Bombyx mori: one gene and its partners. The protein of the gene in region 1 binds, or shares a complex with, the protein of each later gene. Links are inferred from orthologs where the notes say so. Each region holds a gene or a part of one and is shown on either strand. Other genes may lie near its edges.

Region 1 (4,880 bases):
TCTGTGAAAAATTCAACTCTCTAGCTATCACAGTTCTTGAGATACAGCCTAGTGACAGACAGACAGCGAAGTCTTAGTAATAGGGTCCCGTTTGGGTACGGAACCCTAACAAGTACTTAAAATTGAAGTTCCATTAAAAACAAAATACTAACGCGCAACTTGCCGACGGCCTCTGTTCAACAGAAGACCGCGGGCACCCCCTTCCTCTACCTCGTACCCTTCCTTTTCGTGAACCACCACGTGTGGCAACACTCGAACGACCTCCGCGAGTGCGCACGCCTGTTGCTCTTGCACTGCCTCCCCTCACCCGCAAACTTCTCTCACTATGAAAATCCAATCAAAAGCGCAACATAAGCCACATGCAGTTAACTGGGTGCAGGAAAAAGACATTCAAATTAGTTTTAAATAAAGCGCAAGTGCAAAAGAATAAAAAAAGAAAGAAATAAAAAAAAAGTTTTCCAAATTATTTGTCAAAGCAAACCAAACACCATATAAAAGTAGATCCAATAGTCTTATCCATATTATGATAGCGAGCGAACAAAATGGCCGCGTTGCCCGAAATAACCTAACTGTCATCGTCCCGGTCCGGTCAGTGGAGGGACGCGTGTTATTTTATTCGATATTTCTCTAATTAATGAAAGATTTGAATAAATTTACAATTTGGAAAAGGTTAATAGTTAAGTAATTATTTCATTGTTTCCATAAATTACACAAATCTACCAATATTTGGTGCTAAATGAATGGTTTGTTTGGCCGACATGAGCGTGTGCTAAGCCTGAGTAGGTGTTAGATATCAATGTTTTACCACGAAAAGCGTGTCAAAACACGTACAAAAACAAAGAAATATGCTTATTACATACCTTTCCATCGCTTTTTCAAAACTTTATCTCGTTATACTGTCGTCAACCACTTAAAAACACTTGAAAATAGACGCACAAACACTTCCAACTACTCCGCGTTAGCAAGTCCGGAACAATGAGGTTTTTTTTCTTAAAAACATATGTAAGTTTACTTAAGAAAGCGTCTATATTTTGTCTTTGTTTAACGTTCTAGCAGTTGTATGCGTTAGAACACTGCAGAACGTGTTTTAAAGTGCGCTTTTCGAATGAAAACAGCGGCATCAAATTACTGACCGTTCCGGTCGCCTGCCAGCTAAGCGTTTATTTTATCATGACCGGAGCGGGAGGCTGCCACCATGGCACATTTTTTCCGATGGCGTCTGCCATAGGAAGGGATATTGCAGACCATGATTCATTTTATGTAAATATGATGACAATATATTAAAAATGAATAATTCCAAGAATACTGCCTTTGAATATGGATAAAACAACAAAGCTTAAAGATTTAAAATGGATATTAACCGTATAGTTTTTAGAAAAAGGGGGCTGAAAACAGAATAAAGTGGCCGAATTCAGTTTCTCGGATTCTTTCATTTATTAAATTGTCAGTAAATTCCGAACAGTTAATGAGAGGTTCATTAATTTCATCTCATCTAACAACTACGGTGCTGTATATATCTCATCAATTAATAATATTTTAAGTTATTAATTTTCATTCCAAGATCAATTATTTTTCAAAAGATAGACATGAATGGCTTTTGCTATAAAAAAATCTATTGTATGGACTGTGATTCCTTTGCGTATCTGTATTCTGTCAAAAGAAACAATATTCTTTAAAAACATTACAGGCATAGATTATACACTTATGATTACAGGATTTACAGGTAATAATACCTAGCTATAACAAGAGAATCAATGAAATTATCGTTTGTAGGAAAGGGATTTATCAGTTTTAAGTAGATTATAAAACATGGATGATGACGCAGAAACTTACAAACTCTGGCGTATACGTAAAACTGTAATGCAGGTGAGGTTATATTTGATGCTATTCATCTTGTTGGTTGGATTCTAACAGTAACCGAGGCATAATATTTACAGTTGTGCCATGACCGAGGATATTTAGTCACGCAAGATGAATTGGACCAAACTTTAGAACAATTTAAAGAGCAGTTTGGCGATAAACCAAGGTATACTATTGTTCTTATAACCTTATTAATCTGATACGCTCTAGTGTAGCCAGAAAGGCATTCGGACTTCGGGCTACGAGCAATGCATCCATCAAAAAATTTATTAATTTTATAATTTGCGTATACAGTATTAAATAAACTATCATGCAGTGACACATTTATGCGTCTGGATTGAAGATCTGGCAACGGTTAATACTAATCAGCAAGATCAGTGGAGTTTGCAGACCCCGTTTCTATTTTCTTTTCACTGTTATATTTTGTTGTAATTTTAAAGTTGTCCACTATAATTGAATCTGCTACATGTTTTTTTATGGTGGGATAGCACTGTACCGTTTTATATTGTCAAAAATAAAATATGTTTAGATCTTTCCATTGTCAATCCATATGTATAATGTTAGGGTTATTCAGTTTAAAGCTAATTGTAGGTAGCTTGAATTTTTATATTTTTATATTTAACAAATCAGCCTCAATGGTCCAAACATTAAATTAACTTTTAATAATTTGTTAATTTGTCCCTACATATGTATTGTACAAGTTGTTTAATTTCAAGTCAGAATAATTTGAATCCAGTTTGAAGTACTGAGTAGCTGCAAGTGAGGTCTCTTGTATGAAATCAAAACACAAATATGGATTTGTAAACACTACTGACCCATCATTTTGGTTCAGGGGTATTGTAGTACTGCTAAGTTTCAGATCCAGCTACAGAGCAATTCAACGTTTTTGTCTTAACACTTGTTATCTTTCTTAGAAGCTTATTGGAATCTCCAAATTTAATAGGTTCTCACTATTAACATCTTTAAATTTACTTTCAGTTTCTTTCATCAGTTTCATTGCTCAAAAACTTTTTTGGAACATTAACAGCCTTTTAATAAAATGTTCATAATTTGAAAAGTCAGCACAAGTCGGCAAACTTTTAAGGAATCACAATATAATGAGTGTTTTCTACCAAAATTATTGTGTACTAAATTGACTTACCAAAATATAACTGAGCTGTCTGAGATAGAGAGCGATGTACTAGACTGTTTTTAAATTTATTATCTAACATTTCCATTTCTTCAGCTGTCCTTTCAAAATTCTTGAAAGTGTGTAATTTAGCATCGAAATATTTCACAATGAAATGTCACTTTGACTTATAAAAATGATTGTTGTCAAAGAGAATAATGTAAATACTACCTCTATAGTAAATGATTATGTAGTTACTGTGTGAATAATTGGAAATTTATGTTACCAGATCATTCAACTCATGGCCAACAATAGAAATCTGTGGGTTAATGATGAAATTAATATGAAAATCATCAACTTTGAGTTGATTTATAAAGAAATCTAGAAATTAATACAGCATTTTAATTTTTTTAGTGAGAAAAGACCAGCAAGAAGTGATTTGATTGTGTTAGTGGCTCATAATGATGATCCAACGGATCAGATGTTTGTTTTCTTTCCTGATGAAGCTAAAATTGGTATAAAAACTATAAAGACATATTGTACAAGAATGCAAGAAGAGAATATTCATAGGGCTATTGTTGTTGTACAGGCGGGTATGTATCATTAACTAATCAAAAGTATCCTACATAGTACTCGAGAATGCACATTTTTCTCCAAATAGAGAGCAAAATAAGTGTCTTGGTTTTTACTCCTTAATTGTAAAACTTTGTGGTTTTGATTGTATTTTGGAAACTCAATGTATAAATATAGCTTTAGTGGTATTTTCATAACTAGCCACTTCCTAATGTGTACATATATCGATATATATTTATTAAATGCATGAAAACCTTATCTGCACACTGTTCATCCATACTATGTGGAACCATGCGTTCATCGTCAGTGCGTTTCCAGATATCTTTTTGCCACATACCATCCGGCTCTGGAATTAAATCTACTCCACAGTACTTCCTGAGCACTATGATATGTCATTCTTCAAACGTGGCTTGAAGGTGTTACTCTGAGGTAGGCAGCAACTTGGCTGTGGGCTTGCTGCTGTCCATGAGCGACGGAAACCACTCACCATCAGGCTGGTCGTATGCTTGTAAGCCGGTTACAAAAACTAAAATAAACCTCTGCAATCTACAACTGCTATTTTCAAAGGGAATTTTGTATTATGATGGCAGCCATCTTCGCAATATCAAAGAGGAATACTAACAGTAATTTCTTTGAAATTGATGAGTCAGAGATATGAAAAAAAAAACTCGTATTTGCATAGTGATGAACCATAAAAATTTAATACATTGCAAAACTCCAAAATTAGAATACGAAAATCTTCAATTTGTGAATAAACCATAAAGGTAATTTTGATCGAGAAGAGTAATGTTTTGATGGTTCACCTATGTACATAAATTAAGTAGCAAGGAATCCCAAAAATCTCTCGAAAAAAAAATCAAAATAAAACTCATATTTTCGTAACTTTCAGGAATGTCACCATCAGCTAAACAGTCACTGGTTGATATGGCACCCAAATACATTCTAGAACAGTTCCTTGAATCGGAACTACTGATTAATATAACCGAACACGAGTTGGTACCGGAACATATTGTGCTGACACCGGATGAAAAGCAAGAACTCTTGGCAAGATAGTATCCTTTACTGACAACGTTTAGAAACTAGAAATAGCAATATTGATAGAAACAACAAAGATAGATTTAAGTTTCGGAAATAAATCATTTGACCTCATGTCTCAGATGAGTGGTGACATTGGGTTGTCTATAGACTCTGATAACGACTTAAAACTAGACGGGCCGTGAGCTACTACTGGTGGTAGGACCTCTTGTGAGTCCGCACGGGTAGGTACCACCGCCCCGCCTATTTCTGCCGTGAAGCAATAATGCGTTTCGGTTTGAAGGGTGGGGCAGCCGTTGTAACT
Region 2 (2,837 bases), on another chromosome or scaffold:
TGATTTATACACGTTATTTAGTGTTTGAGCCATCATATATATTAAAGGTAAGTCTCAGTTGTTATTGGTTTTAATGTATTTGATAAAATAAAAATACATGTAAAAATCTGTTGTTTTTGGGGATATTGGGGACGTCTTAGGTACAAATAACAACGAAAAAGGGGTCAATTGGGATGAGAATACGTGAAATGGAAACGAGCTGAGTATAAATAGGTACAGGTTTGTAGGGTTGTCTATGTAGTTATAACAATATTTTTTAAATTTGTTGGTAAAAATCTTGTTTATTCATGATGTTTTTGTCTAGAACTTTTATTCAAAATTATCAATGTGTTATTTTATTGTTTGGTAAATACTTATATTATCAGTTACGTACTGTTTTCTATTTTTAGATAATGCCTCGCGTGTACGTATTAAAGAGTGCAAAGCCTTAAAAGAGATATGATCCCTTAATATTAAAAACAGCAATAGAAGCCTTTGAAATTGGGAATAAGTCTTTAGTTGAAATAGCTAAGCAATTTAATATAAGTAAGTCGATTTTGCACAGACATCTAACAAGAACAATGAAATGTCAAGGTGGACAAAAATGTCTAAGTAATACATAGTAAAATATTTAATATTTGTTCAGAGTGGGGGTATTCATCTGATTAATCCATGGAATAACCAACACACCTAATCTCTTAACCCAGATAAAAATATCAGCCCCTAAGTACTTACCAAGAACGAAAAAATATAAACCGTTTATAAGAAAGCTTACTCTCCTTTGGGACTACAATAATGTCCACGGTAGCATGGTCTCCGTCAATGTTCATTCGGAGTTGTCCGATTACGCTGAACTAATTTTAAGTGATGAAATAAATTTTTTTTAATTGTATCACAACTTACAGGACAAATCTGTCGCGGATCATTTCTCAAGTAAATATAAATTAATCATAAGTAAATAAATGTAATCAAGTTGATGATCACTTTGTTGGTGCAACTAAATAAATAAATAAATTAAAACCAAGTAGTGGCAGCCCTAGCAAATTTCTCATTTCGTCCCAATTAACCGCAATTTTCGGGTAAATAGGGATTACACCTATTTTTGCTTTTTTTGCTTAAACTGGAATGCTAGTTGCATAGTTTTAAATTGGACAACAAAGATGCCCCCAAGACTCAATCATTTCGATCCTGATATAGCATTATATACATCAACATCTACCTTAAAATTGGTCATAAAGTTGGAATTTGTCCCTAATCGCCCCATTTTACCGGTACGTAGTGACACTTGAAATTTTTTGTGTATTATCTATGGTTAATTTCAAAATCAATGTCAGACAAATGACAAAACCATAGAGAATACACACATAACCCATAGATTATACACTTAATATATTTGAGACATAACCTCAACTAAAATTTTTGAGCAGGTGAAAAAAAACGGAAAAGATTTCTGTATTAAACTGTTTATTTTCTATCAAATCATACCTTGACTGAAACACAATGGCGGAAGAAATACAAAAAAAGTTTCAAAAACAGCTCGAATTATTTCAAGGTGTTCAAAAAGACATAAAGAAAGCGGTCACTCAGAAACAACAATTAGACAGCCAGTTAAATGAAAATAAAGCAGTCAAAGAGGAACTAAAACTCTTAAGAAAAGATTCAGAGGTATACAAACTCATCGGACCCGTATTGGTGAAGCAAGATTTGGAAGAAGCCAGACAAAACGTCTCCAAACGTATGGAGTACATTAGCAAAGAAATCAAAAGAACAGATGATCACATATGTGCTTTAGAAAACAAACAAGAAGCACTGCAAGAAAACTTAAATAAACTTAGAAATGATCTTGGCAAACTAAAACTAAAAGCTTGAAAAATGTGTGAATTAAAAGTAAAATATTTCTATTCTTCTATTATGACTCACTTGTATGTTTAGAGAACTACTATTACAAATAAAAATATTACACATTAATAATTTAATGTATGTTTAGCTATGCAATAATCATGAAAAAACTGCTGTGTGGCATTACACTAAACTTACCTCTTCCTTTTGTTAACTCAATATAAAAATAAAAAATCTTACTGAAAGTAAGTTTTTATTTTACTGCCATTGCAGGCAGATGTTTGTGGCCCTCCTGATGTCACCATCACTCATAGACATCAGATATGCCAGGAGCACAGCCAAACTGCTGCCTATTATTTACTTATTATTTATTTTCAAAACTAAAATATTTTGTTACTTGTACATATTTATTTTTGTGTGTATAAGCTGAAAGTTTGCAAGGTAATTGACGGTATAATGAGTACCATTAGTTTTGAAACCAGATTCATCTTAGAATAATTGTTCGCTTCTATTACCAGTAGTTTTGTATATTAACCTAAAACCATATGACAATCTAAAAAAAATTGGGTAATTTTTTGTTTTTAAATACCTATTACAAATGTTATGTATTGCATTTGTATACAAATGGTCGGCATAATTTAAGCTGGCAGTGGAGAAAGTGCACAAATGTAATTTAATAAACTTATTCTAATTATGTTTCCAATGATTTATTCAATAATTAATACTGCTCATAAAGAATACAGGCATAAAAAAAATTGTGTCTTGAATCTCAACATAGTGCAACTTAATCACGTTCAAGATACTCATTCTCCTGCATTAAGCTACATAAAGCTAAAGGCATTGAAGTTACAATGTGTCACTATAAAAAAAATACACATTTATAAGCTTTTGTACCCAATTTAAGAATTATATTGTTCCTAATGAATCCCAAGAAACTGTAACTTTAGTATTAATAAAGTTTGTAACTTTCTAAAAAAAATACCTTTTCTTTTTATGCAGTCTACATTTCTTGAGTCACT
Region 3 (2,283 bases), on another chromosome or scaffold:
TGACCACGACAATATGTTTATGTAGCGATAACTCTACAAGGAACAAACAACACTGGCTGCGGGATTGACTATCATAACCCACAGAAACAGCCCACTGAGTTTCTCGCCGGATCTTCTCAGTAGATCTCGTTTCCAATCCGGTGCAACACTCCCGGTTTAAGCCCCGTAAGCTCACCTACTAGTTCGGTAAAACTAGAATACCACTCGAGGTTACTAGAATAGCTATAATAAAAAACGAAAAAAAGTTGAATATACAACGTTCCAATGTTTTCCATTTATCCACAATTAAATACATATGACGGATAAGGGCTACTTCCAAAGTGTTTTTAAAATGATGACGTCGTCGTCGTCGTCGAACCTGTCACTTGCGACGAAGGGCTCGGCGAGTAAATTAATCCACAGACACATCTCATTGAGTTTCTCGTCGGATCTTTTCAGCGGGTCTTGTTTCCAATCCGGAGGTAGATTCTGCGAAACACTGCTCTTGCTAGGGCTAATGTTAGCAACGTCGTCAGGTTTGAGCCCCGTGAGCCCACCTACTTACTTGTTACGCTACGCTGACATAGCCTCTCAAAGCTTATAATTAGCAGCAGTATCAGCTTAGGTAGGAAAAAGAAAAAGTACCTAATAGTGCGTGCTTACAACACCTATCTACCAGTTCACTTTGAATTGCTTGTCTCTTAACATCATATCTCATGCTTTTGAGAATTCAAGACTCAGACGTTTAATTCTCCAACGTTGTCGTCTCAAGGCTATCAGCATAAGTAGGAAAAAAAAAAAAAAAAAAAAGTTGTCGCGATCGCTCATGCGTATTAAAGTACATATACGTCACGTAATGTAATTGCAATATTTGTCAAGAAATGGCTTTCGTTGTCGCGTCTGTAACAACACGAACACGCAATGTAACACGAACATATCTAACGGACCGTTGACCCATATGCGTCAGCTAGTTTTGTAATCGCTATAAAATAAAATAAATAATTTTCGTAAAAATAAAAGTTGTCATGTCTGAAATCGCCAATCGCCGTGTAAAAATTATATTAAAAAAAATCGTTCAAAACTAATAAATGAAACATACAATTTGAATGGTGCTTTTGCTTTGCAATATTACGTAGGGTGTAATTTGTAATGAAACAATCTCCGCGTTGCAGCCATACATCTACGGGCCGACGTCCCAGAGCGAGCGAATACAGATCCTCCAGAATTTCAAGTTCAACCCTAAAGTGAATACGATATTCGTGAGTAAAGTCGCCGACACCAGCTTCGATCTGCCCGAAGCGAACGTGCTTATACAGATCTCTTCGCACGGAGGCTCCAGGCGACAAGAGGCACAGAGATTAGGTAAAGTTAACATGGATCTAAATTTATATTATAATATTTGTAGTAACTATATTTGAGACCTTAGAACTTATATCTCAAGGTGGGTGCCGCATTTACGTTGTGGATGTCTATGGGCTCCAGTAACCACTTAACACCAGGTGGGCTGTGAGCTCGTCCACACATTTAAGCAATAAAAAATAAAACTTCATCATCACTACATAGTATAAAACAAAGTCGCTTTCTCTGTCCCTATATTCTTTAAAACTACGAAACGGATTTTGATGCGTTTTTTTTTAATAGATAGAGTGATTTGAATAGGATGGTTTATATGTATAATAACATCCATGAAATAGTGGAGAAATCAATAATAAATTACAGTTTCCGAAGCGGAGCGAGGGCGGGTCGCTAGTATTGAATAATTAATGTAAAATCGCTTTGTGCGCGACGAGAGAATTTTCTAGATCTTGAATGGAATGTGGTAAAATGTGGCCAAAATAATAGAAATATATCTTTCTCGCTCTTTTTGGCACTAAATAAAGTTTAGGTTTGACGCGTCAACATCTTTGCAGTCGAGAGTATTCACTCATTTATTTAGTCTCCTTTGTAATTTCCAGGTCGTATTTTAAGAGCAAAGAAAGGCGCTTTGGCCGAAGAATATAATGCCTTTTTCTACACTCTAGTATCACAAGACACCTTGGAGATGGCTTACAGTAGAAAAAGACAAAGATTTCTTGTTAATCAGGGTTACAGTTATAAGGTAAATATGATATATGAGGCCTATAAAATCAAAGGCAGCTAAACGCCTTAATGTCGTAATATGTATTAACAATGGCTCTATCTTGTTTAGTTAGTTGAACATGCTTTAGTGTTTTCATGTTATAACAAATGCAGCTAAATCTCTAACAAATTTAGTTCAAAAAAGTTAAGTTTACTCTGTATTAAGTACTAATAAACGAAGTTTTA

What was found.
Region 2: DNA-directed RNA polymerases I, II, and III subunit RPABC1 (region 1) and prefoldin beta subunit share a complex: the UniProt entries of both Homo sapiens proteins name them as parts of the PAQosome complex. The link is inferred for Bombyx mori from reciprocal best matches to the Homo sapiens genes POLR2E and PFDN6.
Region 3: DNA-directed RNA polymerases I, II, and III subunit RPABC1 (region 1) and general transcription and DNA repair factor IIH helicase subunit XPB share a complex: the UniProt entries of both Homo sapiens proteins name them as parts of the TBP-based Pol II pre-initiation complex. The link is inferred for Bombyx mori from reciprocal best matches to the Homo sapiens genes POLR2E and ERCC3.

Annotation. Positions count from the first base shown.
Region 1 is NC_085125.1:6,611,024-6,615,903, forward strand, and holds the start of DNA-directed RNA polymerases I, II, and III subunit RPABC1, read left to right. Parts: upstream 1-1,614; 5' UTR 1,615-1,809; coding exon 1,810-1,866; intron 1,867-1,937; coding exon 1,938-2,026; intron 2,027-2,999; coding exon of another isoform or gene 3,000-3,077; exon of another isoform or gene 3,078-3,127; intron 3,128-3,382; coding exon 3,383-3,561; intron 3,562-4,430; coding exon 4,431-4,593; intron 4,594-4,880. Other genes in the region: leptin receptor gene-related protein, read right to left, coding at 3,000-3,077; piggyBac transposable element-derived protein 4-like, read right to left, coding at 153-323, 861-868. UniProt on the Homo sapiens protein: DNA-dependent RNA polymerase catalyzes the transcription of DNA into RNA using the four ribonucleoside triphosphates as substrates.
Region 2 is NC_085112.1:4,987,665-4,990,501, forward strand, and holds prefoldin beta subunit, read left to right. Parts: upstream 1-1,348; 5' UTR 1,349-1,479; coding exon 1,480-1,848; 3' UTR 1,849-2,337; downstream 2,338-2,837. UniProt on the Homo sapiens protein: Binds specifically to cytosolic chaperonin (c-CPN) and transfers target proteins to it. Binds to nascent polypeptide chain and promotes folding in an environment in which there are many competing pathways for nonnative proteins.
Region 3 is NC_085117.1:11,792,397-11,794,679, reverse strand, and holds part of general transcription and DNA repair factor IIH helicase subunit XPB, read left to right. Parts: intron 1-1,151; coding exon 1,152-1,341; intron 1,342-1,934; coding exon 1,935-2,077; intron 2,078-2,283. UniProt on the Homo sapiens protein: ATP-dependent 3'-5' DNA helicase/translocase. Binds dsDNA rather than ssDNA, unzipping it in a translocase rather than classical helicase activity. Component of the general transcription and DNA repair factor IIH (TFIIH) core complex.